Tamandua tetradactyla: one gene and its partners. The main gene of each other region encodes a partner of the protein of the gene in region 2 in a complex. Links are inferred from orthologs where the notes say so. Each region holds a gene or a part of one and is shown on either strand. Other genes may lie near its edges. The genes, in order: CCNC, MED8, MED26 and MED24.

What was found.
Region 1: MED8 (region 2) and CCNC share a complex: the UniProt entries of both Homo sapiens proteins name them as parts of the mediator complex. The link is inferred for Tamandua tetradactyla from reciprocal best matches to the Homo sapiens genes MED8 and CCNC.
Region 3: MED8 (region 2) and MED26 share a complex: the UniProt entries of both Homo sapiens proteins name them as parts of the mediator complex. The link is inferred for Tamandua tetradactyla from reciprocal best matches to the Homo sapiens genes MED8 and MED26.
Region 4: MED8 (region 2) and MED24 share a complex: the UniProt entries of both Homo sapiens proteins name them as parts of the mediator complex. The link is inferred for Tamandua tetradactyla from reciprocal best matches to the Homo sapiens genes MED8 and MED24.

Annotation. Positions count from the first base shown.
Region 1 is NC_135331.1:157,138,836-157,146,335, reverse strand, and holds the start of CCNC (cyclin-C), read left to right. Parts: upstream 1-4,488; 5' UTR 4,489-4,771; coding exon 4,772-4,803; intron 4,804-5,606; exon of another isoform or gene 5,607-5,636; intron 5,637-7,500. UniProt on the Homo sapiens protein: Component of the Mediator complex, a coactivator involved in regulated gene transcription of nearly all RNA polymerase II-dependent genes.
Region 2 is NC_135328.1:180,671,003-180,678,382, forward strand, and holds the start of MED8 (mediator of RNA polymerase II transcription subunit 8), read left to right. Parts: upstream 1-4,367; 5' UTR 4,368-4,394; coding exon 4,395-4,475; intron 4,476-5,713; coding exon 5,714-5,832; intron 5,833-6,530; coding exon 6,531-6,675; coding exon of another isoform or gene 6,676-6,692; intron 6,693-7,380. Other genes in the region: KICSTOR complex protein SZT2, read right to left, coding at 4,247-4,273. UniProt on the Homo sapiens protein: Component of the Mediator complex, a coactivator involved in the regulated transcription of nearly all RNA polymerase II-dependent genes.
Region 3 is NC_135337.1:95,127,172-95,135,110, reverse strand, and holds the start of MED26 (mediator of RNA polymerase II transcription subunit 26), read left to right. Parts: upstream 1-4,924; 5' UTR 4,925-4,966; coding exon 4,967-5,038; intron 5,039-7,939. UniProt on the Homo sapiens protein: Component of the Mediator complex, a coactivator involved in the regulated transcription of nearly all RNA polymerase II-dependent genes.
Region 4 is NC_135332.1:27,220,000-27,226,885, forward strand, and holds the start of MED24 (mediator of RNA polymerase II transcription subunit 24), read left to right. Parts: upstream 1-3,868; 5' UTR 3,869-3,932; intron 3,933-3,945; exon of another isoform or gene 3,946-4,036; intron 4,037-4,292; 5' UTR 4,293-4,373; coding exon 4,374-4,503; intron 4,504-4,587; coding exon 4,588-4,670; intron 4,671-6,886. UniProt on the Homo sapiens protein: Component of the Mediator complex, a coactivator involved in the regulated transcription of nearly all RNA polymerase II-dependent genes.

The DNA of each region.
Region 1 (7,500 bases), on a different chromosome or scaffold from region 2:
TTACCCCTGTATTCTGATCCACTTTTTCCCAACCTGATTGGCTTCATTCTTATCTCTAACTGAAGCCTGATCTCTTTTTCAATTTACTTAACCATTGTTGTATGTGGCAATGCTGATTTTCACATCACAGAACTCCTTTCCTGAGTCTTAGTTGTTACACAGGTACTGAAAGTTCTAGGGAAATACCATGTTATACATATACATAGCACAGCCTCTCAAAATCTAAAAATAACAATTTTCTTATAACTGTTTTCTAAATGAAACCATACAATATTTGCTCTTTTGTTTCTGACTTATTTTGCATCACATAATGTCCCCCAGGCTCATTCACATTGTTGCATACCTCATAACTTCATTCCTTTCTGCAGCAGTACAATATTTGATCATAGGTTTACAGCATAGTTTACAATTCCATTCTCAGTGTATCCTTCAGCCACCTCCATCCATTGGGCATCATGTATAATGTCTAAAGTCAACAGTCCATCTCTTGCATTGTCATCACGTACTGGTATGATCATCAACAGTTTCAACTTTGGACAATTTCCATTGCTACCAAGAGAAAAATAACCAATAAACACACTCTCACCAAACAGAAAATCCAAACCTCCCCTTAACTCTTGTCCTTCCCCCCCCCCCCCACCAAATATTTACCCCTGGTATTGCTGTGTACTGTTGATGTCTTCCTGTTAAATATAGCCTATAACATGCAATAGTAGTTTTCCTGATATTATAAACTTTTTGTACAAGATTCATACCTCTGCAGTAGTTCATGCAAAAACTTATTTATATTTGTAGTGTTAATTGGTGGGATACATGGCTCTATCCAACCTTTTTCAATCACGTTCACCTTCAATATGGCAATATCACTTACAGACCCACTTATGAACAGCCTTCACTACTATCCATTCCCTTACATTTAAGTTCAACCTCACCAGCTAACTGTTCACCCATCTCTAGCTTCCATGTATCTCTAGGTCCCCTATATTCTGTATTATAAGCCTCTGAGTTTACCTTTATCAAGGTCATAACAGTGAAATCACACATTAACTATGCTTCTGTGTCTGGCTTCTTTCATTAGCATTATGTCCTCAGGCTCATCCATCTGGTCAGGTGCTTCAGGACATCATTTTGTTTTACTGCTGTATAAATATTCCATTGTATGTATATACCACATTTTGTTCATCCATTAATCTGTTGATGGGCACTTGGATTGTTTCCATGCTTTGGCAATTGTGAACAATGCTGCTATGAACATTGGTGTGCAAATGTCTGTTTGTGTCAGTGCTTTCAGTTGCCAGGTCATAGGGCAACTCGGTATTTCATTTTTTAAGGAGCCACCAAATGGTAGATCCTTTTTATAATTTCTATATTTTTATCAAATTTTTCCTTTGCTTCATTTATCATTTTCCTGAATTCTTTTAGTTCCTTTTTCATATTTTCCTTTAGCTCATTGAACTTATTGAGGATAGCTGACAACATATTTTTGGTAGTAGTTCCAATATCTGAACTTCTCAGGAATGGCTTCTATCACTCTATTCTATTTCTTTGAATGAGCTACCTTTTCCTGTTTCTTTTATGTCTTCTGATTTCTCATTGTAATCTGGAGTTGAACTTTTAATGTGCTAACTCTGGAAATCAGAGTTATTCTCCCCTTTTTCTAGGTTTTTTTTTTCCTCTTATTAATACTGAAGGCTGTAGTATTATGTGTTTAGGGATTTTTTTCCAAACCATGCAAAAATTATATTCTTTGACATGTAAAGTCATTGAAATCTCTGTTCCTTTAGCTTATATTCAGCTTGTGGAAATATGGAGATTTTCTTACATAAGGGAGCCAAGAAAACAAAAGAAATAACAGAAAAATACACCTCACCCAGTCTTTGCAGATTGCTTTCATGCTGGGACTCTCTTTCAACACTCAGCCAACTTTGCCCTGAATCTAAAGAAGAGTCTGAGGAAGATGCTTTGGGTCCTGTCAGGTTTTTCTGAGCACGTATCTAGCCCTGTGAGTGTGCAGGGCCTTGTACATCCCCCCATATAAATGGACACTTCAAATGTCCTTCTTTCCCAGGAAATCCTTCGCATCCTTTCCTCCCAGGCCCAGAAGCTCAATTGTTTATCTCATCTGCATAATATTTTGCCTCAAGCAGACGTGCTTTGATTTTCTTAAAGTGTTTCAGTGGCTATGCCTGCTGCTTCTCCATCTAGATTGAGTTCTGGGTGAGACAGAGAAGAGCACCAGTCTTTCAGGCTGCCATCCAACACCATAGAATAGACATATATACACCCTAATCTGTGAATAAGAACAGAATCAAGTGGTAGTCCAGTGACAGAAACAAAGTCTAATAGGAGCCTAAAGATTAATAATACTGATAAATAATATATTATTAATATTTTTTTGGTGATGCCAGGCCAAGGAAAAAACTCTAAGATATTTGAAGAAATGCTGCAACCTTTTTGAAGCAGCCTATGGTCTGGTGTTTCTTAAACCAGTGTCTTACAAAATTTTTTACTATGATCCACAGTGTAGCAGACAGTAATGTTCATCACATATACTACATGATCCTTTACATTTCTCAGCCTCCTTTGCAGTTAAATTGGAGTCATGTGCCTATTCTGGTCAATGAGCTGTTGGAGGAAGTGACTGTGTTGTTTTTGATTAAAGGTTGCATACTTTCTTTAGATAGATTATAAGCCTGAAAGCAAAGAATGTCAAGATGGAGGAGTTGTGCATGGGACATGACTCTCAGGGGTGTGGACCTTCCTGGCAACGTGGGACAGAAATCTTAGAATGAGGTGGGACTCAGCATCCAAGAATTGAGAAAAACCCTAGAATGAGCTGAGACTCAGCATCAAGGGATTGAGAAAATCTTCTCCACCAAAAGGAGGAAGAGTGAAATGAGACAAAGTGTCCATGGTTGAGAGATTCCAAACAGAGTTGAGAGGTTATCCTGGAGGTTATTCTTACGCATTAAGTAGATATCACCCTGTTATTCAAGATGTAATGGAGAGTCTGGAGGGAAGTGCCTGAAAATGTAGAGCTGTGTTCAAGTAGCCATGTTTCTTGTAGATGATCGTATAATGATATAGCTTTCACAACGTGACTGTGTAATTGTGAAAACCTTGTGTCTGATGCTCCTATTATCTACCTTGTCAACAGACGAGTAGAACACATGGAATATAAATAAAATAAATAATAGGGGGAGCAAATGTTAAAATAAATTTAGTTTGAAATGCTAGTGATCAATGAAAGGGAGGGGTAAGGGGTATGGGATGTATAAATTTTTTTTCTGTTTTCATTTTATTTCTTTTTCTGAATAGATGCAAATGTTCTAAGAAATGATCATGATGATGAGTATGCAACTATGTGATGATATTGTGAATTACTGATTATATATGTAGAACGGAATGATCAAAAAAGGAATGTTTGCATTTGCTTGGTGTTTTTTGGTATTTAAAAAAATAAAAAATAAAATAAAATAAAAAGATGGAACAGCTGTAAGATAGAAACAGACTAGTTCCCTGAAGATCTGGAGGACTCCACCAAGAAGGGCAAGCTCACTCACTTTATGGAAGTCACATATAAAAAGAGACTTTATGGAAGTCACATATAAAATACTTTTATGTTAAATCATTGAGCTAAAGGGGGAAGGATGTTACCACATTTTAGCCTGGTCTAGTTTATCCAGACTAACTCACACAGTAATATATGCATTTCACATCTTGGAGCACTACATATGTCTATACATAATTGAATAAAAAATTGTAAAATGACAATTATCTTTCTTATTTCTGACATACTGTGAGCATTTCTATTCTACTTAATTTAAAAAAGTGTGTGCCACATTCACTAAAATAATTTCACATCTTATTTGTTCTCACGCTGTGGGAAAAATGTCTAAGTTGCCTCGGAAAACTGGTCTTCTATGAACAACTTCCAGGTGTGTCCAATTATTTAGAAAAATAATTAGTTTTGAAATAAATGCAATGTTACAATGATAATAGAAAAGGAAAATAAAGAAACATGATTTTATTTCATCTTATAAAATATTGCATTTTTTTTGCAGTATTTCTCTTTAATGCACATATATATGAAAATGTTTGGGGATGTTCTGCAAAACTGGTGGGTCTCAGGTATAAGAAGAAAACACTTGCTCTAAAAGTTTGCTCTTTTATCACTCCAAGAATTCCACTAAGAACGCATGGGGTTTGATGCCCGCGGGTCTTAGTAGGTCCGTGAAGCCAAAACAAAATTCATTTATTTCTCTTTTCAATCCCGCGGGGGATTAAAATCTAGTTAGAAAATTACCGTGCTTTATTACAATAACATCGAGAGGTCCTGTAGGCTTTGGATATAAACTAACCAATCAGAGCTAGACGCTTCTCCCACGTTAGCCTAGCAGAAGCGCCAACCTTACAGGCTTTAGGCCCGAATCTATGAAGCTCTCGCGAGAGCCTTCCGTCCGCCGTGACCCTTCGTAAGCACCAATACCAACTCCGGCGCGGCCACATGTCGTCTCCTCCCCGCCGGTTTCCTCCGCTACCATGGGGCGGGCCGGAACTTTTGTCCTTAGGAACGCGTTTACGCAGCAGCGTGTTGTCGGCCGGCATCTATGAGAACAAGGTGCCGTCCTCTTCCTCTTGCCGTAGCCGCCGCGGAGCGGAGCCGAGCTGATCAGATAGAAGAGTGCGGTTACCCGGCGGGCTGGGTCTATGGTCGCTCCGCGGGCCGCTCCGCCGGCTGGTGTTTTTTTATCAGGGCAAGCTGTGTTCCATGGCTGGGAACTTTTGGCAGAGCTCCCACTAGTAAGTGTTCTCGGTTTTCCCGCCCAGGGTCCGCTTTTGGAGGGCGATGAGGATGGGGCCTGCCACTTCTCGCAGCCTGGATCCCGGTTCTTGGCCCAAGCGCGGCAAGGTCTTCCCGAGAGGTGGCAGCGGCCGGAAGCGGGATTCGCTTTTCAGAGGCTACTCTCCTCTCCCCGCCCCCTGACCGGGTTTTGGGGGAAGGATCTGTGAGCTGAAGAATGGGTCTAGGAGCGATCCCCGGAAAGCATGGTTAGGAGTGTAATTTAAGGTTGTTGGATTAGCTAGGCCCGTGGGGATAGGATGGTATGAGCACATGTATGGAAAGTGTGTTTCAGTTCTGGACTGTGAATCTGGCTCCTCAGGATAGGTGATGCTCGCTTTTGCTTGGAAACTCTCAGAGAATGGGACAGTCGTTATCCCTCTTCTCTTGAGTGGATTTAATAATACTCCAAGGAGAGGAGGGAGTCCAGTTTGTTTCTGCTCGTTAATTGATTCCTGCCACTACTCTATGCCTAGATGGAGTTTTATGCTGGTAAGGTATAGGGCAGGTGCTCTGAAACTGTATCTGTTTCTTTAGTCTGTCTTGTATTTTGTTTTATAAATATATTTTCCAGTGATTTTATATGCCGATTTCATTAACCTTTTTCATGAGTAGGTTTTTGTTTCTGTCAGCGACCATTGGAAGAGCTAGAGTAGTATTTAAAACATTTCTCTCTGAATACATTTGTTTAAGCAGGTAGGAAGATGGATGATGGACTTATTAAACATTGATTAGACTTTCCATGTGTAGGTGAAAGATGAACCGAACCCGATAAAGAAAAATGTATCTTAGAGTAAGTAATTTTTAGTACTTAGCATTAGGAACTGTAACTTTAAGATTCTGTGACTAATATCAGTTCTTTTTGTTCATTTCCCTCTCCCCCCTTTTTTTGGCCCTTTACAGAGGGGGAAAAAAGGAACAATGGGCTTGGAAAACTGTTTTCAGAAAAGCAGGTTTTTCTCTTATCCTAAAGCGATTGGAGATGAAATGTTGTAAGAGCTACACTTCTGATTGTTGCCATTTTTATTTTGTGTTTTCCACTCGCTGAAATAATTGCTTGGGCAAAGTTAAAATATAGAAAGTTTAGTCTACTAAACTTTGTAGACTTTGAAGAAAGCTGAAAGAACTGTTGATTGTGAAAAGTTAGAGCAGTTTTTCAACTTAAAAAAGTAGATCCTGCCCCCTTTTTTGATATGCATTCTTAATATGATTTTATTTGCTGTTGTCCTTATTAAAACAATCGTTTTTTACTTCTCGGATGCAAAATTATAATGTGAAATGTGCTTTTTAAAAACCGTACCTACCTCCCAATTCAGTATTCCTGGGGGAAGGAACCTCTTTACCTCACTCAACTCCCTTAAGAATCATGGAGTCCCTGATCTGCAAAAGGTGACAAGTATGAAAGACAAGACAATCAAGTCTGGAAAAACAGGATTATGATAAGTCACTGCTTTAGGTACACAGCAAAGATTTTGGTGAAAGAGGAAAGTTGACATGCATCTCTGAAATCAGCATGGCAATTTTTTTAGTAGCACATGAAATAATGCTGAGTCTTACAATGAATGGAATCCTTGATTTGAAGAAATACAGTATTTATTAATTTGTTTTTTCCTCCCTTTAAAGTGCTGAGGGGAAAACTTTTTAAAGATTTTGTGAAATTTATCTCATAAAAGGACTTTGTGGAGATAAAATTAATGATAATCCCAGAATAGAGCACATCACATTCTACTCCAGAAAATTTAAGTAGAGCAAAACACATCTTCTGATGATACGGCTGTGAAACTGGCACTAAATAAATGTTTGCTGGTTGCTCAAATAAATGAAATGAGCAGGTAACAAAAATAACCAAATTTGGTTACTTTATTGTATCAAAAAGTAAACTGAAAATACAGTTACATTGTATCTAGAAAATAACATGAGATCAGTATATATCCATATCTATGGAACATAGCCAAAACTGAACTTTACAAGAAAATTAACATCCTGAATAAAAATAAGCCAAATACTCTATTTAAGATTATTAAAAATAAAATTGACATATAAACCTAAGGAAAACAGAAAGAAGGACTTAACACATACTAGTGTATTGAAAAGGGGAAAAGAGGTCAGATTTTAAGAGCTGGTTCTTTTAAAGGGAAAACTAAAACAGTAGACCAGAAACTATTGCTAGATGTATCAAGGAGAAAAAAGAATGTTCTAAAAATACAAAATGACATTTAATAAAATTTAGCATGTATTCTTGATTAAATTTCTTACTAAAACAGAAATAGGATGCTTCCTTAATATGATTAAAACAGCAAAGCATCAGCAAGAGATAGTTTAATGGTGAAACATTAGCAAAATTAGGGTACCTATTCAACATTCTGCAAATGCTAGTCAATGCAGTTAATAAAATGAGATAAAAACAAAATTATATTTAGAGATAATTAATTGGAAAACTGAGTTCATTGAAAGTTGTTAGAGACAGTACAGATTTCAGGTGATCAGTTACAAAACAAACTTAAAGGCTTTTTACTAAATAAATGATAGAAAAATGTCAGTCACAGTAGCAACAGAAAATATAAAGTACTTAAGAAAAAACTAATGTACAAGACCTATAGAAAGTTTGAACTTTAATATTATTTTTTTAAGTATTTGATGTTGTATGTCTGAAATAG
Region 2 (7,380 bases):
TTATTACAAGTTCTCCAAAGGAAAAGAATGAAGTTCTATGATGGCATGTAACAGAGTAACCTAACCCAGGGCAGGGTCTGAGGAAAAGTGACCTGAAGGTTGAGCATGGGTTGCTAAATGAAGAGGGAAAGGGTATTTAAATGAGCACTGTACTATTAGAAAACTTTTTTCAGATTGCAAATTTTTAGTTAGTAGGTCACTCCATTCTACTACCATACATCTTCCATTTTTCCACTTTGTCTCAAAAGTTATTTAGAATGATGAACTGACTGTCCAAGGTCAAACAAACTGAAGTCTAGTTCATAAATCAGTTCTATAGAATCTACCCTCTTGAAGCCAAGAGCATTTGTCTAACGCAAGCTTTCTAGCAACATTCTCCCTTCTACATTATCCTTCAAAATTCAACAACTATATTTTTCAAACATAATCCCTAAGTTCCCTTTATATTTAAGATGTAATTTATCAGAACCAGAAAACTTAAGAACTAATTTTAAAGCACCTAGAATGGCATTTTTCATTCTTGGGCTTATTAAAAATGCACATTCTTAGGCACCATCCCAGACCAGCTGAATTAGTTGATGGGGCTCAGGAATCTGCATTTTAGCAAGTTCCCCAAGTGATTCCTTCATATTAATGTGTGAGAAGCCCTAAATTAGCTGTGTTCTCACTCCATCCACATTCGTGTGCAGTTTCAAATCCCCAATATTTAATACTCCTTGAGTTCAAAATGCATTACTCTTAGAGCAGTCTGACAAAGAAGACAAAGTAGGGTTTTTGGGGTGTGAGATTTGGATTCAAATCTGGTTTTATTATTTGCTATAATAGGTGACTTTGAACAAGTTACTTAATGTTTCCAGGCCTCACTTTCTTCACTGATAAATGTGGGCCAGAACATTTACCTTGTAAGGATGTTGTTGCAATGAAAGGGGAGTCAGAATAATGATAAAAGAAGCCTATTGGGTCACGGTGGCTCAGCAGGTAAGAATGCTTGCCTGCCATGCCTGAGGACCCGGGTTCGATTCCCAGTGCCTGCCCATGTGTTAAAAAAAAAAAAAGACGACTATCATCCTTTGGGGCATTTATTAAGGCCGACATATCATTAATACCAGGATGAATACCACACTGTCAGGAACTGTGTTGTATACCATGTGCACCAGGATGAATGAAACCTTGCCCATCTCATTAGTTTGTTGTTTTTTTGTATTCCCCCCTATATGATTAAGGTCAATTAGTAGTAGTAGTAGTAGTAGTAGTGGTAGTATTTTGTATGCTGTATGGTGGGGGTAACGTTTCATTCTTTTTCCATGTGACTATCCTTTTATTGCAGCACCATTTGTTGATTTTTTTTGGGGGGGGATGCATATATGGGGAATCAAACCCGGGTCTCCTGCATGGCAGAGAAGAATGATCAATTATTTTTTTGAACTTTTTCCAACCTTTGTGCTATCTTCTGTTAATAGACTCCCATTGAAATAAGGTAGTTTTTTTCTTTTGAATTGTTTGAAGCCTCCTTGCCATTATATTTACGCCAAAGTCCTGAATCTCCAGCACAGAGTCAAAGGAATCTTCTCCAATCTCAGCCTCATTTCTCACCAATACACCTCCCACTCCTGTCCCCAGGTTAAGACCATGCACTCTAGTGCTAGAGCACATAGGATCAAATGCTGGTTCTGCTGTCTATTAGCTGCACGACTTGATAAGAGTTATTTAAAATGCTCATGCTTCAATTTCCTCATCAGTGAAATAGGGAAAATAGTACCTATCTCCTGGGTTTGTTAAACTGGGAATTAAAAGATACTTAGTAAGCACTCAATAAGTGTTAGCTATTTTCATTGTCACATTGTATCCATGCTAACAGCTGTTTCCTCTCAGTTCCCTGAAAGCTCCAAGCTTCTTCGCCATTCCCTTTACTGGTAGTGCTCCCTAAACTTTCTCATAGGCAACTTCCACCCATTAACTTTCTCATAGGCAACTTTCACCCATCCTCAGGCTTCAGTTTAAATGTCATTCCTCCAAGAGGTCTTCCCTGAATCCCACCCCCTACTTAACAGAGTAGTTAAGAGGCCCTATTAAACATTCTCATTCACTCTGTATTTTTCCTTTGCAGTGCTTATTATAATTCAGTATGTGTTTACTCCATAAAGATAGGAAATATTTCTGTTTTATGCAGTTGTATCCATCCTGATACCTAGCACAATTCTGAGTCTATAGCAGCACTCATGAAATATTTTAAGTCTTTGATGAATGAATGATTTTCTAAATCTAGGGCATCTCTCTGACTATGCCCAATCATCCTCTCAGGACCATAACAACCTCTAAAAGTCAGTCACATTTTTTATGCCCAGGGGCAGCTCTCTTCATTTCCTTTACCTTCTAAGATAAAATTTTCAGAAACTCAAATCAAGAATTCAACAAATGCCTAACTTTTGGCTGAATGGAAACTCCCAGGAATGTGTGTCTTAACACCAAGTTACTTTAGACCTGCACTGTTCAATACAGCAGCCACTAGTCATATGGAACTACTGAGCATTAGAAATATGGCTAGTCCAAACTGAGATAGATGTGCTATAAGTTTAAAACACAAACTGGATTTTGAAGACTTGGTACAAAAAAAGAATGTTAAACATCTCTTAATTTTTTATATTGATTATATGTTCACATGGTAATATTCTGGAAATAATGAGTTAAATGAAACACATTATTAAAATTACTTTCACCTGCTTTTTACCTTTTTATGCAGCTACTAGAAAATTTAAAATTATGCCTGTCGTTTGCATATGTCTTTTGGACACTGCTGCTTTATTAGATTGTCTGCCTAAAAAGATATGCTGTATCTCCCCACTATATCCCTCCATTTCCTCTCATTCGAATCCATCCCTAAATGCAGTCCAAATTGTCCCATGGTTTCTCTTATCATTATTATTTTTGAAGCATATGTGGGTTACTTCACCATCCCAGTGAACATGTCAGATTCTTTTGAATAAGGCATAATTTCTATAGTCAGTCTCATCCATCTCCCAGTGAGCCAGAGATCTACCATACAGGGATTACAATTTATTGTTACAAACATTATGGTTAACACAGGATCTAGACTTAAGCCACCTGATTTTGAGTCCTGCTCCTGGCTCACCATTTGCTACGCAACTTTGTTACTTTTATATCTCTGTGCCTCAGTTTCTTCAAATATAAAAATGGGGATTATATTTAATCCAAATATAAAAATGGGGATTTTATGAAAAAGCTACTTCATATACAGTTGAAAGAATTAATTGATTTGTAAAGTGCTTAGAATAGTGCCAGGCATACAGTAAGTATTCAATAAATTAATGACTACATTTATATTATTACACACATCCCAGCCCCTTCCCACCTACTAGTACAATCGCTTGTAAAACTCAGCACTTTTCCTGGTGTGGTTCTTTCCATATCTAAGAATTCATGCTAAGTATTATTCTAACGCCAAAATCTTCTACTACCCAGGTGAATCGTACTGGAGCAAGGTAGTTAACCGTTCTCACTGCTCAGTTTCCTTATCTGTAAATGAGAATAGATATCGTCACGTTCCACGCACAAGTACTGAGTGACAAAATGTATATAAGTTCCTTGTATAATAATCCTTAGCATCTAGTAAATACTTCAAACGCATTTTCTGGTGTAACCCATCTGATCCTCGCAACGCCACATAAGGTAGATACTTTACAAAGAAGGAAACAGGATATGGGAAGATAAGACTGGCCCGAGGTTGCTAAATGGCAAGGCTAATATTGGAACGCAGTCTTATTCGACTCAAATGTTCTTTCACACAAAGCAGAACTACTTTTCCAAAAACCATGAGTGCTAGAATTATATTAATTTATTTGCTTATGGCAGTACAACTTTTAAAGAAATGCAGACACCGGCAAAGTAAGCCTACTATCGTGTTGTCACTGAAAAAAAAACACTAGAAGTTCAAACCACGGGCTTTGTTAATACCACTAATAGAATAAAGAGCCCTAAAAGCATTAGACCGGCGACGCTGATGAAATTTCAGTTAAAAAAAGCACAAAAATTTCGCCTCGAGACCCCGGGAAAGCTGCAGACCGCGGTGAAACGGTTCCGTTGTCAGGCCTTCCGGGGTTGGGCTGGTCCCTGCCAAGGAATACGCTGCCGGGCCACCCCCAGGCCCCGAGGAGACCACGACAGCGCCTGTCCGCCGAACCCTCCCACTCGGATCCAGGGATCCAGCGCTGGGCCCGCCCGCCCCTACCTCCGGCTCCGGGTGCTCCGAGGCCATCACACAACCCTCCCTCGACTGGGAACGCCGGTCCACCCTCGACCCCTGACCCGGCTACTCTACCCGCGACAGGATCCGGAAGTGAGTGGGAGGGCTGAGTCCCAAGTTTCCTGATTGGTGAATGAAGCCCTTCCAGAGAGGCTCGCGGAGTTGGAAACCGGAAGAAGAAGTCGGTGCAGCCGCTACTGCCATCGCCATGCAGGTGAGAACTAGGTTGGTCCTGTTGACAGCCGGCGAACTTCGGTTACTGTAACCGAAAATGGGCTGGCTGAGGAGAGAGTGTGGAGTTCGCTGTGTGAGGCGGGGGCAGGGTCGGTTGCTGATGAGTAAGGGAACGCGGCATGGGGGACCAGGCAGACCACTAAGATAAGTGGGCGGTGCAGATGAGAGATGGGGTGGGGCCCGGCTGATAGGAGAGAGACTGCTGCTAAATTCAGAGGGAGGAGATAGCACTGACTTGTTTGGGTGTAGGAATGAATTAATTTGTAATGAAGAGTCAGAGATGCAGTCCAGAGAAGACTTCTCAAGAAATGGTGTGTTGACGCAGACCCTAGCCTAGGTTGAAATGGAGGCTGTTCTCTGTAAAGAAAACTGGAGAAAAGCCCGAGGGGGAAAGGAATTGTGGGGAAGCCAAGCCATTTATAACCGAGGCCGTGGCATCAATCCAGCATCAAGGCTCTTGTCAGGCATATTAGCGGGTTTGCAGGACGGTTTTGCATTATTTTTCCTAGGCGGTTGATTGTTAAGGGTGAAGAAATGGAGTAAAATAGGATGCCACAGATGGAAAGAAAACGCTTCGCAGACCCCAAGCGTTTAAAATTGCTCATCTAGTGCTTAGAAGCTGGTCATTTGTGGAGTTTCATTAGTCATTTAGTTTCTTGCACCTGGTAGTCTTTTAGTAAATGTTTTTAGGTTGAGTGAGCTTATGAAAGAAGCATAGGGATGCTGGCATATAAATAAACAAAATGAATGTAAATTGATTCAGCAAGAAGGAGTTTGAAAGCAAATAAAGAACTGTGTTGGAGGTGAAGCTTATGGGCAGGGCTGCTGTTCAGAGAATGCATCAAGTGTAGGCAGATTTCCCAGGGATGTGGTCAGTGTTAAGAACAGCTTACAAGGCAGATTGTTGGTTAAAGGAAGTTGATGTACATGTGTACAGAAGGCAATGAGTCCCACGGAGAATAGAGTACCTATTACGTAGGAAAACCAGGCATGGATTAGGAGGTGATGAGAGAAAGGAATCAGATGGTAGGAGGATTTGTGGTAAGGTGAATAGGTTGAAAGTTCTAAGGGTTGATGGCATCTGTAACCAAAATACCAAAGACAGAAAACAACCTGGCTCATCTCTGTTACCTCACCAGGTATTGTCATGTCTTCATCTGTGTATGTTGACATAGTACATCAATCTGGGTAGCCAGCTTTTTTTTTTTATTAATGCAGAGGGAAGAGAAACAACTTGAGGCATCATTAGATGCACTGCTGAGTCAAGCAGCTGATCTGAAGAACTCACTGGGGAGTTTCATTTATAAGTTGGAGAACGAGTATGACCGGCTGACCTGGTAAGAGTTGCCAAGGTAGGCTGGGGAGGGCTGTTTAGTAAGTGTGGAACTGGGCCTTCTGACAGGTAGGTCAACTCTGATGCTGTAATCATTTATCAGTTTGGAAACATCTTTTGATTTGTGAAGAGCTGGGTTTCCCAACATTTAACATTTGGAGTTTGGTTTAGGGCCTCAGTGGCAAGGAAATAAAGAGATGTCCTGTTTCCCAACCCAGGTTCTTGCTAGGTTTTGATTCTTACCCTCTATCTTTTCTGATTAGGAGCTTCTCTCTCAGCCTGTCCACTTTAGCTCTATTCATGCTGGACCCGTTGCCACAAACTGTGGCTGGGTCTTTTAGGTCCAGTCTTCTCTGGAAGTGTGGATCCTGTTCCAGGCTGAAAAAGCAGCTTTTACCAAGTTTCTGAGTTTTTAGCGATAGTAGTGAAGTTGTCGTTTCTATTTTGCCACTGTTCCTCAGCCCATTCATACAATGAACTGTCTTTTACCTACATCTTTGTCAGAAATTGAAACTGTGTCCCTCTTTCCTACATCCCTGTGAGCCAGTCTGGCTACTGCCCAAAATCAGTCATAGGGCCGTGAGTCTCTTTGGGATGAGCCTGGATATTCCTAGTCTGAATAGGGGCTACTTAGAGGCTACTTTACTGGAAACTACCTGAGGGAAGGAGGGGAACTTTCTAATACTTTCTTACTACCCCCAGGCCTTCTGTCCTGGACAGTTTTGCCTTGCTCTCTGGACAGTTGAACACTCTAAACAAGGTCTTAAAGCATGAAAAAACACCACTGTTCCGTAACCAGGTCATCATCCCTCTGTTGTTGTCCCCAGACCGAGATGAAGATCTTATGGTAAGAGGAGGAGAAAGGTACACTTTCGAAATTAAGTTCTTGATTGAGAGCCATGAACATAATTGTTGAATAGTTATAGAAGTTCTGAATATGGAATAAAGAGTGGCAATAAAAAGTGTGGGCTGGAGATGACTCCCAGGGATGAGTTCAACCCTGTACCATGGGATCAACAATTCCATCCTGACCAAAAGGGGGAAAGAAGTGTAACTAATAAAGTATCAGTGGCTGGGAGAGTTCAAATAGAGTTGAGAGGCTACTCTGAAGGTTGCTCTTACACAGGCTTCAGTTAGACATTGCTACCTATCATAACTTGCCAAACCCCAACCAAACCATTCCAGCCAATCTTAAAGAACACTTAGGGCAAAATATAAGATCCTACAAAGATTCCGTGCACTAGGGTAACTTTCCAGAAAACTACAACCTCCGGATGGGTCCCTGGACCAGATAACTCCTGAAACCTAGAAGGCCCAGCCTGGCCAGAACATCAGCTAGTTCCATCACCCTACTCCATATTACTGACAGCCCCTTCTAGCATGAAAGATTTAGCATGACCGTAGCCAATACCCTTAATGTGTAGGATAGAAAGATCAAAGGTGATGGTGGAGTAATACAGAGAAGGTAGGGTTTAACGTACAGAAATGATTGCTGAATCATTAAATTGATATTGTTTTAGTCTCCAGTATCTTATAGCAGCTAGAAGTAAAA
Region 3 (7,939 bases), on a different chromosome or scaffold from region 2:
TCCTTGCATTGTCCCGTTTTCTCCACGAGAAAATCGAGGCTAGGGCTGGGCACTGCCCACTGGAGTCATCGGGGGTCATTGGCAGAGCTGGATGTGAACCCAGGTGCCTGGACTCTTCTCTTCTGTCGACACTGCTGCTTCCCTCACTGGAATCTTCAGATGTAGGGAACTGGCCATCTTGGGCTCAGGGGACCACTCTTTGGGCTCACATCATGGGGTTGCCAACGAGGATTCGGTGAGATGGTGTAAGGAAAGGCCTGGCAGTTGCCAGCCTACAGAAGGGCCTCTTCTGAAGGCTGGAGCACCATAGGCATTGCAGAACTTAGAACTCTCTGGAGTTTAGAGTCCTAGCTTGGGACCCCCCCTATTTATTGCCCATGATCCCTGTAATATTTCTGTAGCAAAACATGTGCCCGTTGGAACATCGATGCTGTGTTGCCAAGTCAAGAAGATAACCTCTGCCACTGGATGAGCTTGCTGCAAACACAGGAAAAGACTTTGCACCTCTATAGCTCTGCAGATTGGGGAGTCGCACGGGGGTGTGGACCCATGCCTTGAGAAGTCCTCCCTTTCCTTTGGGACCCAGTGCCTTCTCCGTGACAGGAGCGACTTGCCAGGTAACCCCCCGGTCACATGTCCCTGAGCCATGTAGAGCCAACTGCGTTTGATGTGAACACCTGTGGGAGCACTTTACCTTCCCTGCCAACGTATTGTTTTTCACACTGGGATGCAATTCCCACCTTCAGTTTTGAGAAGTTCCACTGGCCAGTTGAGGCTCTTCTAGTTTTTGCTTCTGTCTGCGCCACCCTTGTGGCATCTCCTGTTTTTCAGCATCAGCCCCCTAGCCCCTCTCTGTGTCTGCTGTCAGGGGTGGGGTTGGGGAGTGCCTCTAACTGGTTTGTGTTTTTCCCAAGACATCTGGGAACGCTGAGATGTTGGCCCATTGCAGTCACCATCCAAAATCCAGAATCCAAGTCACTTAGTTGGATGATTGGGTATCCAGCGAGACAGGAGCAGAGAAAACCTACTGATGGGTGGTGAGATAGAAGTCTATCCGGAAAAGTGGCAGTGGTTGTGGCTGAGAGGGCCTCACAGGGTAGACAGAGTGCTCGGACATGGCAAGGTGCAAGGCTGCTGAGCTCTGGGAACAGAGGAGCAAGATGATGCCAACCATGCAGCAGCTTGGGGAAGCCAAGCAGGTGAGACCAGGCACAGCACAGGTGAGGGGCAAAAGGAACATGCCCAAGACACATCACAAAAGAGAAGTCGAGAGGAGAGGGAGCAGGAGTTGCACAGCCTTTGGGCCAGAGAGCACAGTTTTGATTCAGAAAGATCTGCCATGGGATCCCAGCTGCATTTGGGATGTTAAGTAACCTGTAAACCTCAGGCTTCTCCTCACCTGTAACTGGAGGATGCGGTCGTAACTGTGTTTTGGTTTATCTATTGCTGTGTTACAAATCCTCCAATATTAAGTGGCTGAAAACAGCCCTTGCTTAGGCTTGGTTCTGTAGGCAGGACGGCTCAGTCCCTGTGGCCAGCTGGTTCCTTGGTTCTGCTCCACAGAAGCCCAGGCCTCCCCCTCTTGCTATGTGGCCCCCCAGAATTCTCCAGAATTCTCACGAGGCACCTTGGTGTGACAAGGCCTCCTTCTCTTTTTTTAATTCACAATTTATAATTCACATACCATAAAATTACCCGTTTAAAGTGTAATTTCAGTGACTTTTAGTATGTTCAGAATTGTGCAACACTCATTAAAATCTTAATTCCAGAACATTTTCATCACCCCAAATGGAAACCACTCACCAAGTAAGCAGTGTTTTCCACACCTGACTCCCCCAAGCCCCTGGTAACCTCTCATCTGTGTTCTCTGTGGTTGCCTGTTCTGGATCTTTTGTTTGAATGGACGCATACAATATTTGTCCTTCAGTGTCTGGCTTCTTTCACTCAGCGTCATGTCCTCAAAGTTCATCCATGTCATCGCATGACCAGAACTTGGCCCCATTTTATGGTTAATTGATACTCCATTGAATGGACAGACCACGTTTTGTGTGTCCATCATCTGCTGATGGTCATTTGGATTGCTTCCACCTTTTGGCTATTGTGACTAATGCTGCTATAGGCACTGGCATACAAGTCTCTGTGTGTGGATGCTTTCAGGTTTCTTGAGTAGGATTCCTGGGAGTTGGATTGCTGGGTCAGGTGGTAACTTCCAGAACTTCTTATGGCTTTAGCCTGGAACAAGCAGAGCATCGCTTCCACTGCATTCTTTTGGCTAAAGCAAATCACAGGTCCAGCCGTGTCAAGGGGAGTGGATGGCACAGGGCCTGCATACGGGGAAGTGGGCTTCCTGGGGGACCCCATGTGAAGTCCTCAGGGCAGAACCTGATATGTACTTAACAAAAGCTACTCCTTGCTTTTATTTTCTTTATTACTAACAATAATGACCCACAATTGGGGCTTCCACACTAAGGAAGACACAAACTGCTTGGATATAGGTGTACACTCATTGATGTCAACCTGACAGCAAATCCATCACCTCCACTTTGGAGGTTATATTGGCATGCTTTCTGATTAGTGCCAGATTCAGGTGGTAAGAGCTGTGACACCTCCTGGAGATCATGGGCTGGTCCCAGCGCTTGACATACTAGACGAATAGGGGCAGTACATGCTTGTTCTAAAAAATATAGAATTACAGGAAAAAGTAAAAATCACCTGTCATTCTACTTGCTAGTGATAACTACTCTGTTAAAGTCAGGCCACAGACATGGGTCAAGGTGGGGTAGTATATTTTGGCACATTTTTCCTACTAGTTACCAGTGTCCTCCCTTGCCTTATTGGGGGAAGTCCAGTAACTTCCCCTCTAAATAGCCCAGGGCTCCCAGGGTCCGGCTGAGGGAGTCTGGAGAGGCACAGCCCTGCTCTCTGCAGGAGGGAAGTATTGAGTGCCCTCCTACCATGGCTCCTGGCAACACGTGGCACCGCTGCTGAGGACTGGGCCAGCGCAGCCCTGGCAGCCGGGGTGCCCTTCTGCTCGTGCATCTCCTGATTCCTGCTTGGGCCCCAGTCCCCTCCTGCCAAGTATGTCTCCAGATGCCCTGTGTTCGTGCTCCTGGAACTTCCTCCACAGCCACCTTTCCAGGGCATTAGCCGGTCACGGACTCCAAACCACGGGCTCTGCTTTCTTGGAGCTGCTCTTGAAGAGGCGTCTCCCCCTTTCAGGGGCATTCCAAGCACAAAAGATCTTGTCCTCTCAGGACACTGGGGCCACTGGTCTCTGTACCTAAATAATGGTCACATGGTCAGGGAAGAACTATTACCAGAAGAGGGTTTACATCACGCCCCACCTGTGCATAACTGACAGGCGCCGTTGGAAGTCTCTCTTCCTTGAAGCAGGTCCGTCCTGAACTTCGGAGAAGCAGCGGACATTTCAGGACTTCTGTCCAGCGGCTGTCTTATTTCATCTATTCCCCCTTCTCTGTGAAATGTTAAATGCGGAGTAAAACCGTGTGTGCGTGTGTGCATCCACGCGTGTCTTATCTATACAATCATCACGAAAAACTCATCGAGTCTCGCTGCGCCAGGCCCGTGGGACCGAAGGTGTGCACGTGTGTGTGGGTATGCACACGGTCACGGGCTCCTGACGTGCTCACTCACCTACCCGAGTCTCCGACGTGCCCTGGGGATAGGGCGGCGGGTCAGCGCCCTCACGCAGGTTCACGGTTAAGGTTCTCCCTAGTTTAAAAAGAGCAGGTGAGTTGTATTCTCCAATATTTCTTAATTTGAACCCCACAAAATAAAAGGTTTACTTCTACGGCACTATCGTTATCTATGCATGTGTAAGCTGTTATTCATCTGAGTTAGAAACCAGGAAGAGGCACGCGGAATGGACCCCGGGCAGGGCTGGCGGGCGAGGCCGGCGACCCCCGGAGGCCCAGCTCCGGCCCGCAGAGCGCGGCGCTCGGAGCCGGCGGGGGCTGGGGGCTCGTCCCGCGCGCAGACGCGGCGCTCCTGCCGGCCGAGGCGGCCGCCCTCCCTCCCGCCGTCCCGGGCTCCCGGGGCCGCTCTGCCCGCGCCCGCTGGGCGACCCTGGGCCTCAGCTGCCCCGTTTGTGACGCGTGGGCCGGGGAACGAGGACGTCAGTTCTCCGGCGTCTCCCAGCGAGGCAGGCGCTGGGGTCCTTTAAGCCTCCTTCGGGGCGCTTCGGGCAGCGTCGGGAGCCGTCTGGGCCGTCCCGCGCGGGGAAGGGGCGGCCGGTGGCCGGAGGCACGGTGCTGCTCCATAGAGCCCGCCCGGCCCGCGTGGCAGAGCCCCGCCTGGGGCGCAGGGGCGCGGCCCGGGCTCTGAGAGGCTGGTGCACCCCCAGCTCGGCGGGCAGAGCCCGGCGCCGCCGCAGGCACCTCAGGAGCAGCGGCCAGGACGCCGCGAACGTTTCCGACGGCCCGGGCGGGGGCGGGGCCTGCTGGCGGTGGCCGTTGCTCCGCCCAACCGCCTCCCAACGGCTTCCCTCGGCCGGCCGGCGGGGCGGGGCGAGGCGGCGGGCGAGTGCGCCTGCGCGCGCGTGCGCCGACGCGTAGGGCAGGGCGGAGCGCGCGGCCCCTCCCTGGCCCGGCGTCTCCGCCCGCCCCATCTCCCAACCTCCTCAGCGTGGCGCCGACGCTGCGTACGGCGCGGGTTACCCACAGTGCTCCGCGCGGGGGCAGCTCACTGGAGTTTGGTTCTCGAGGCGGCGGCAGCGTCGGCGGCGGCTCCGGCGGCTCCTCCTCCTCCTCCTGCGGCGGCGGCGGCGGCCCGGGCCCGAGTCCCGGCCCCGGTTCCCCTCCCCCGCCGCCCCGCGCGTCCCCAGTGCCCCGGCACCGCAGGGAACATGCGGCTCCGCTCCCGGGGGCCGGCGAGTGAGTGACCCCCGGCCCCCGCCTCAGCCCGCCCGCCCGCCGGCCCTGCCGCTCCCCCCCGCCTCGCCCAGGCAATGACAGCGGCTCCGGCGTCTCCGCAGCAGATCAGGGACCGGCTGCTGCAGGCCATCGACCCCCAGAGCAACGTGAGTACCAACCTCGCGGGCCGGGACCGAGGCCGCGTGGGCCTGGGACCCTCCTCGTCCCCCTCCCCCGTGCCCCTCGCCCGCCCGGCCCCGGGGGACCCGCCCGGCGCCCCCCTCCCCCGGACGGTCGCTGCCATCCCGGCCTCTCGCCCCCCTGAGCCCAGGCCAGGGACAGATCGGGCAGCCCGGCGGCGCTCGGTACGTGAGGCCGAGGCTTCCGTGCGGCCTGGGCGGAGGGAGCAGACGGGGGCTGACGCCAGAGCTCGGCCTTTCCTCCTCCTCCAGCTCTCTGACCCTCGCTGCTCTGGACGCGGCTCACCCGCCTCGCCTTCACCCTGGGATCTGAGACCCCCGAGAAGCCCTCCCTGTGAGGGCATGAGAGGGAAGCAGTCTGGGTGCAACTGGTGTCCTGGGCATGACTCGGGGTGCCCGTGTCTGCCCTGTGTCGGCCTTCTGGGTGATCAGAGAAGTCCTTTCTCCTCACGCTTGGGAGTACCTTCTTGTTTTCGGAAGGAATCCTCTCCTCCCCTCCCTCCTTGCTTTGCCCCTAGCCTGGTGCCCAGGCCCTGGCAGAGTCCCCTTCCGTTTTGTGACTGGACCTGCCTTTGTGGGATCCCTCTCGGGTTGTTGTTGTGGGAAGATGATCTTGGGGAAGGTGGGATTCTTCCTGTGGCCTTCCTGGGTCTGACTGACCTGGCCAGAGCTCTGCTTTTTGGGGGTGAATTAGGGGTGGTGGTTTTCTCTCATGGTCCCCTCCCTTTCCCCCAACCTGGGGGTCCCAGCCCGGTGATTTGTGACCTCTGTCTCAGGATTGTCACTTTCTCTGTTGCTCCTCCCCAGAGGCTACTGTTTTGCAGAGGTAACCCCCTACTCCGTGTGTGTGTGTGGGGGGGGGTGTGGGGGGACTTGCTGTGCTCTTCCTTGTGCTCCCCGAGGCACATTGGCAGAGGGGGCACTTCTCTCTGGAGCAGGTGCAGGTTGGGCAGTGGGAGGATGCACTGAACTTCTGCGTTTGCTGGCAGACTAGGAAGTGGCCATTGAGATTACTGTGTGGTAGGCTGGAGATGGAAGGAAAATCATCTTGGGCTTGGCCAAGTAACTCTGTTTTCTCCCCTGTAAGAGTTCTTGTTCTTTTGTGACTCTGGCCACTTCTTCTCAGCAGTGTGTTTTGGTCTGGTAGTTTGGGAATAATTCACACTCAGTTGTGCAGTTTTGCTAGAAGTTGAGGGATTATGGTCTTTGTAAGGCTCTGACTTTGGTGTCTTAAGTCATTCTCTTATCCCTCTTTTTCAGGTCCCATTAAGATTGACTTGCTGATAAATTGTCTCAAGCAAATGTGTACGGTTTTGTTATGACTTTGGGGGTGGAGTAGGCACAAGCTATATAAAACCTTCCAGAATGTCCTTTTTTGCAGTAACTGATGCTACTGCGGTTCTTAAGTCTGAAATATTAAAAACAAGTGACATGAAAAATGTAGCTTTGGTGAGTTTTGCATCTTTTGTCAAGCCAGAGTGTAATTTCTTGAATTTCATGTGCTTGCTTCTCTCGGGAGAGAAGGGGCTGCTAAAATGGTAGCGCTGACCCTTAATGCCACCTAGGAGAGCTTAGGGTCAGGAGGTGCTTCAGGACATGTGGGCCATGACGCTGCACATCAGTGCCCATGACCTTGGAGGGGCCCCACTGTTTTGTAAGGCTCTAATCTAAAGGGTTCAGCACAGATTGGGAGAGTATAGGGAGAGGGGCTAACGAGGGGCGGAGAGAAAGAGTGAACCTTAATTTCGTGTGCCTTGGCATATGCATAAACATTATATTTATACAGATCTGCGGTTGCATTGTGAGGTTTGGAATTCAGATTTTGACTCTGGTCATAGCATGGTTGAGTCCTAGGGTGATGGATGGGGTTGGGGAGTTGTGTCTCTGAACCCATGAAACTCGATGGAAGTGGCTGTTTTAAGTGTTATCAGTGACTGGGTTCGACCACAATGTGGCTTTGCCTGAGCCCCATGCAGAAACTTCGCAGCCCTGGAGAGATGGTTGAGGGGATGGTGGGGAGGCCTGGTGTGTCCATGGGCCTGCAGCACCTCCCGGCTGGCCTGGACATGGGCGGGAGCGGGGGTCCCAGCCTCGGCATGGCTGCCACGTGGCTGTCTTGCCCAATTAGGAATTTCAGTTCTGGATAGGTGGTTGACACATATTTAAGATGTGTGTAGGAAAAAAAAATGGGGACAGTGTTGAAGAGCCCACACTAAAATTAAACCTCTTCTGTGAGAAGTGATGAAAATTGTGTCATATAATGTTTACCTTTATGGACACACAGTTATGGTTAAGAAACTTAGATTTTGCTTGAAAATTCAACCTTGGACAGCTGACCTAGTATCCATAAGTATCTGCAAGGCTGGGGAAGAAACAAGAATTAACAGAGTAACATTTCCTGACTACCTTCTTCATGAGTTCCTATGAGGAAAGTTGTTTTTTGTTCTAAATTCCAGCCTCTGGAGTATTTGAATTTCTACAGCAGCAGGCTCTGAGTTAATACTTTCCTGCCCACTCAGAAAAAGTAAATCCTCAGCACTCTTTTTCAAAAAGCAGTTCTCAGTTTTTCAGACCGGTTGAAGCCTTATTCTTTTCGGGCTGTGCGTTAACCTAGAGCGCTGAAAATGTTCAGCCGTGCAGCGTGCAGTTTGTCCCAGCTTAATTCCTGCTTGTGAATGGAGTCGAGGGTCCTGTCGTTCTCTTGCCCAGAAGCCACAGTGTGTCCACTGGCCATCGGAGCCCAGTGTCCTCAGCAGGTGATGGGGCATTGGTGTGTCTCCAAAGCTGTTGTTTCACTCAAGTACGAGCTCTCTCTTCTTGACTAGAATGCAGGCTCTGGGGCATGTTTCACTTCTTTTCTTCTCCCAG
Region 4 (6,886 bases), on a different chromosome or scaffold from region 2:
CTAGAGGGAGAAGAAGAAGGGCTGTGGCTTTGTCTTTATTCCATCCTGGCTTGCTTACCACATCTCTCTTTGAGCCAGTTCCTAAAGATGTTGGGTAAAGGAGACATTTTTAAATCCTAGAGCCAGAGCTGTAGAAAGGAAGCAATTCCTGAGTTACCTTTCCCCCTTGCCCCCCCCCCCCCATCTCAGGGGCAATGTAGGGCATCTTGAACTCAAACACAAAGAACTCACCATTCCCATCTTTTCTTCTTACTTCTCTCTCTCTCCTTGGCTCCCAATATGGGCTGGTGGCAGACTTAGGCAAAGGCAAGGTGAAGGACACACTGCCTCCAAAGCAGGCATCTTGCCAGGTGCCAGGAGCCAGCCCAGGTTGGGTTTACAGCCCCTGCCCCTGGTTGCACTATCCCCCTTCCCAACCCCACTCTCTTACCCACTCCCAGTTTCTTGAAGCTTCCAGCTCTTCTCAGATTCTGTTCAGTCCCAGCTCCTGTTCTCTACTGGCCATGAACCTCACACCAGGTCTCCATTGGCACCATCCCCTCCCATCCCCCTACTTCGCTTCACAGCAAGCCCTGGGTCTGTGGGGAGAGAGGGAGGGTGGAAAATGAGTGAGAATAGATAGGGACCCTCAAAGGGGATTTGTCTGACAGCCCCCTCCCTCTTAGATTTTGGTTGCCAAGGAGGCAGCAGGAACAGCCTGTTCTCTGGGCTCCCACTGAAACAGCATGCCCAGACTCCTCCCTCTCTTCCTCCCTTCTTTCCTCCCTCCCTTCCTTTCAGCTGTTGCTAGGAAGCACCCCAAGATTTCTTGAGGGTCCCACCCCTAGGAACCAGGGGGTCCAGATATCCTTCTCAAAGCTTCTCCCCAAAACTGGCATCCAAGCCCGCACACAGTGTCCTCATCCCTGCCAAGAAGCCTTGCACATCCCAAGCAGTTTAGGGGAGCAGGGACAGGCCCTCTGCCAGTCAGCCCTGGAACGAGCTCTGTGGCCCTGGCCTTGGCGATTTCCCTCCTCCACCCCTTCCCATCTCGCTTGAACCTCTTAGGCTCTGGGTGATGTCAACATGTGGTAAGGAGGTGTACAGCAGATACCCTTTGGCTCCACAGACACAGCCCCACTCATTGGGGTGCTCTGGAAATGAGACACCATCAGCTAAGAGAACCCCAAACCCAGATGTCTCTCTCCATTAGTGTTCTCCAAATCAAGAAGAGATGATGGAAATGGAGAGGAGAGGGAGAGGGAAAGGTCGAAACAGTTATGTGGAGTTGAGAATCAAAGGTCCAACAAAGATGAAGGACTGGGAAATTAGCAAGCAATCACGCAGACAAGAGGAAAGTCACAACTTTACACTTAATTCCCCCCTTTCAATCACCTTTGTCCCATCAGGCACCCTGGTCCTGGCTCATGAAGAGGTGCCCAGGGAAGGGATTTGGGTCTTGCTGAGCCTTGTTTTTTCCCTAGCTGAGGTGAGAAGTGGAAAAAGAAGATAATTTCTCAAGGCTGCCTTTCAGATTTATCCCCCTGTATTCATTCACTGAACATATTTTTTGAGTGTTTAATATGTTCCAGATATTGGATCCCCCAAACTTTCCCAACTTCTGTTTTTGCTTTCCCAGAGAGCTCCCTTATCCTTCCCTTTGCCAGCAGAAGAAAGAAGTGGCGGGGAGGTCTCTATTTCCATCAGGGTCTGCATCCCTGCTACAAGAGTTGAAGGTGAAGATGAATCACTTTGGTGTTGAGGCAGAGTTTAAGAAGAAGAGTTACAAGGGCCTGGAGGGAGGGGTGGTGCAAAGAAAGTAGCAGACTGGCCCCCCTTCCCTATCACTCTCCCCCTGTGTGCTGGGGGCGTGGAGGGAGAAGGTGTCCTCCAGGGTGTTAGAGAGGAAACAATTCATGATTAGTTCAAATTCTGCCTTTCACTGTCCTGGCCAGTCTCTTTCTGGACTTCTTGTGGGAAGTCAGGGACAGGGAATTGTGGGGAATTCAGGGGCTGTCCTTGAGATGGAGCCACCTTTTAGGCCCCTCCACCCTCATCTTTTCTCCCAGATAGCTGGAAAGCTGTGATTTGGATTTGGGAACTGATGGGGGAAGGAAAATGGTTTGGAGCCAGCTGTGTATATAAGTGTGTGGGATGGACTCGTTTTCTCTTCCCTCCACCTGCTGCCAATTAACTTCCTATAGTGGTGAGACCCAGGCAAGCTTCTAAAGAAAGATGTTCCTGTTAGGGGAGGGTAATGGCAGTTTTCCGATGGAATGAAAGTAAATGAAACCCTCTGTGCCTTGTATGCTTGCCAAGTATTTCAATCTTTCTTGGGCTTTTGGGGCTAGACACTTGGTTCTTTTCTCTACTAGCCTAAAGTGTTTCCTTTCCCTTGGATATCCCAAATCCCTGGGCCTCACAGCCTTTTCCCCCATCCCACCCCCACTTTGATCAAGCTCCTTTTCTGCCATTGCTCCAGATGTTGCCATGTTATTCTGCCTTGCTGTCCCCTCTTCTCCAGCCAGATCCATTCCCCCGCCAGTCAAGCCAACAAGATGAGGAAGTTGGGGCTCAGGGCTAGGGAAGCAGAGGTGAGAACACAGCCACTATCAGAGCTGAGAAGGAATGGACAGCCAAAGAAAGAGCTCCCCCAGATTCATCCTCCAGGGAAGTGATTTTTGCCTAAGGGGAGCTAAAGGATGGCTGTTGGGAAGTTTGGATAGAGCTTGGATGATTGCCTCCTCAAGGTATGGGATAGTGGGCAGGAAAGAGGGGTGACAGACCACTGACTGGGGGTCTACATGTTTACTCTAGTTCCTAGTTGGAGATGTTAGGGACAGTCTTGTCCATAGGATAAGGCAAGGCTGAAGGCTGTTTACAGGGTGCGTGGCATTTGCTTTTGGCCTTCCCACTGCTGGGAAAGAAGGGCTGGACATAATTATCTACAATAGTACTCCTTAAGATAAGTGAGATATCAAAATTAAAAAAAATAATAATTAACTTTTAATTTTAGAATAGTTTTAGATTTATATAGAGATTGCAAAAATAGTACAGCAGGTTCCCACATAACCTACACCCATATCCCCTTTTATTGAGTCTTACATTAATATAGTACATTTGTTACAATTAATGAACAAATATGGATCCATTATTTGTAACTAAAATCCATGATTTATTCAGATTTTCTCAGTTTTTACTTACTGCCCTTTTTCTCTTCCGGAATCACAACCAAGATGCCACATTGCATTTAGTAGTCATATCAACTTAGGCCCTCTTGGCTGTGACAATTCCTCAAAATTCTAGTTTTTGATAACCTTAATCTCCGTTTCCATCTTCCTTTCCTCTTTACCCCCTATATTTAAGGGGTATAGATAGAGGGTTAGGAGATTCTGAAGACTCTCAGATTTGGGGGGTGAAATGGGTATGTTAGTGCAACTAGCAGAACTTCAGTGTCGCTTCTGGGATACAGGCGTGAAAACGAGAAAACTTTGGTAACCCAGGAGCTTAGAGGGAAAAAAAAAGATAAGGAAAGCGTTGGAACCTATTGCTGAACACTAACACCTCCACTATGCCTATGAACCAGTGGGGGATGAAAAGGTGGCGGAATCTGATTTAAATACCCTGTCGACAGTGACGTCGTTGGGCGACGCCTGACTGCTGGCAAGTTTTCGAGAGCCTCCCACCCTCCACGTTTCTGTGATGCCCAGCTTAGAAGTTCTCCTTCAAAGGCGAGAAACAAAGCAGGCCTTTTAGATTAGTCCTCAGCTTCATCTCTAGCCCGGACAAAGAATTTCCCAGTCCCGGGAACTACAATTCCCAGCAGACGTCGCGGCGGGCCTTTCGCTTGCTGCATTCCTGTTGGCTCATACTTGTTATTCCCAGCAAATGAGAAACGAGCTCTTTGACATGTGCCAAAATGGCGCGATGTGGGCTCTGAACTGGCTTGTCCGGTAGGTTTAAATTGGGGGAGTTAATGGATGAAAAGGAAACAGTGAATTACAGTTTCGGGGCTGGGGAAGATGGGGCATATGAAGTGTCTCTTTTGGGTGTACTAGTGAGTGACGGTCGCAGTCGGAGCTAAGGGTATAATTAAAACAACCGGAACTGGCCGAACCCCTTACTGCTCTGGCTTTACTTCTTGTATTGACTCCTAGTGCCTCAGTCCAAGAAAGGTTAGGTTGGGAGGGAAGAGCCTAACAGGATCCCTACTTTGTCTCCTTCGCTTTTATCCTTCTAGTCCTGCTGTCCCTTCTATCTTCCTGGTCTTGTCTATTTCGTTTAACTCTGCCCTCCCCTTCATTTTCCTCAAGAACTTCGTCTCTTGTTCTGTAGCTCGGTTTATCCTACTTCGGAGGGGGCCGCTAGCGGCCGCGCCTCTTCAGAGTGAAGTTATGAAGGTGGTGAATCTGAAGCAAGCCATTTTACAAGCCTGGAAAGAGCGATGGAGTGACTACCAATGGGCAATCAACATGAAGAAATTCTTCCCCAAAGGAGCCACCTGGGATATTCTCAACCTGGCAGGTCTGAAGTGAAATATGAAGGAAGGAAGGGTGGGATGAACCCAGAAAAATTGTAACCACTCAGTCTTTGTTTTTCCCCTTGCAGAAGCACTGCTGGAGCAGGCTATGATTGGACCTTCCCCCAACCCTCTCATCCTGTCCTACCTGAAGTACGCCATCAGTTCCCAGGTAAACTGCCTTACCTACTTCAAGGAGTGGGAGATTGGAGGTAAAAAACTTGCAATACCATGGTCAGCTCACATTTCTAGGTGAATTTGTCTGAACAGATCACTTTTCTGAGTCTCAGTTTTCTCGTGAAAATAGTAATACTTCACTAGTTGTTATGAATATTGCATTCACTATTCTGTCAATAAATAATGTGCTGGACAATGGATAGGCCTTGGGGATTTAGTTGTGACAAGACCTGATAAAGGATCTCAACCCACAGCACACGTTTAGTGGGTTATATAGACCAGTAAATACTGTCAGTCACAGGATGAGTTTATTAAAGAAGTGCTGCGGGAGTATGTGGGAAGGCACCTAATCCAATCTCAGCAATCAGGGAAGGCTTTCTGAAGGAGGGGGTATTTAAACCAAGACCTGAATATTGAATAGGAGTTAAGCATACTGAGGAGGCTATGCAAAGGGGAGAGAAAAGCATATGCAAAGACTGAGAGGCAAAAATCATATGATGTTGTTTAAGAACAGAAAATAGTTTGGTATGGTTTGGCTAGAGCCCTGGTTCTCAAACTTTTTAGTTTTGGGGCTGCTTTACGTTCTTAAAAATTATTGAAACCCACCACAGAATTTTTGTTTATGTTTATTGTATCTATCCATATTTACCATTTTTGAAATTAAAATTGAGAAACTTAAAAAAATGAATTCATTTAAAAGTAACAAAATAAATTAATTACAGGTCAATATAAATATAACAATATAAATAACATCTTTTTAAAAAATAACCATATTTTCCAAAACAAAAAATGTTAGTGAGGTGAGTGGTATTGTTTTACGTTTTTGCATTTTTGCAAGTCTCTTCAATGTCTGGCTTAACAGAAAACAGTTGGATTCTCACATCTGCCTCAGTTGTCATGATATGCTGCTTAGTTAATGTATAGAAGAAAATATGGCCTCACACTTATAGGTATTTAGTTAGAAAAGGGAGTATTTTAACAAGCTTTTTGGACAACTTGTATATTCTTTGAAGCTACACTAAGATTTAGTAGGTGATGTGAAACCATACCAATGAACTTTATACTGTTACATTAAAATACATTGGGCTCTTCCCTCCCTTCACCTCACTTTGAATTATCCTCTGCTCATGTGTGATTTTGTAATATCATGAATTGGTCATTTAGAAAGTACAGGTTACTGAGTTGTAGAGGTATTCCAATTGTTGACACATTTTGTTATATAATATATGTTATGGAGTCTCTGGTAAACTCCACCGTACAGTTGTGAGGGAATGCGAGTTAAAAGGGCAAATAACATCTTAGTAGTATTTTAAAAAAGGGTTTTGACCTTTAGGACCCCCTGAAAGGGTCTGGGAAACCCCTGGGGGTCCCTGGACCATACCTTCAGAACTTCTAGGCCAGAATATCAAGTTCAAGAAGGAGACTGGTTTGGAGAGAAAGATAGCAGTTAGGTCAAAAAGGACTTGGTGAATGATACTAAGGAGTTTGTACTTTATCCTAGGATAATGGGTAATCACGTAAAGGGTTTTAAGTGGAATTGTGGTAAGATTTGCATTTTTAAATTAACATACAATAAAATACACAGATCTTATGTTCAATTTGATGAGTTTTTTTATGTTATTGTGGTAAAATCAATTGGATGAGTTTTAAAAATTGTATATACCCATGTTACCAACATCTAAAAATAAGACCTAGGATATTTCCATTCTCCTAAAAAGTTTTCTTGTGTCCCTTTCAGTCCATTACTTTCTCCCACAACCACTAAATGATTTCTGTTACCATAGATTATTGTTGGCCTATATTTGTATTTCATAGAAATGTGAATACTCTGTCTTCTTTCACTTAATGTGTTGGGAGATTCACTTAATGTGTTGGGAGATTCATCTATATTGTTGCGTATGTCAGTAGTTTAGTTTTTTCTTTATGCTGAATACAAAGTTCTTGCATATCCTTTTCCCGCTTGGCATTATGTCTACTTGTTAGTGCATTTCCATGTTAGTGCACATCCAACTACCTTATTCTTCTTAAAATGCTGCATGATGTTCCATCTGTACTGTGATTTAGCAAGTTCCCCAATGATGGGCATTTAGATTGTTTTTAATTTTCTATTGTTATAAATAGCACTATACTGAACATCTTTATATTCACCTTTCTGCCTGTCTTGGAATATTTTTTTATTATAGAAATAGAATTGCTGGTTTTAAGAGTACA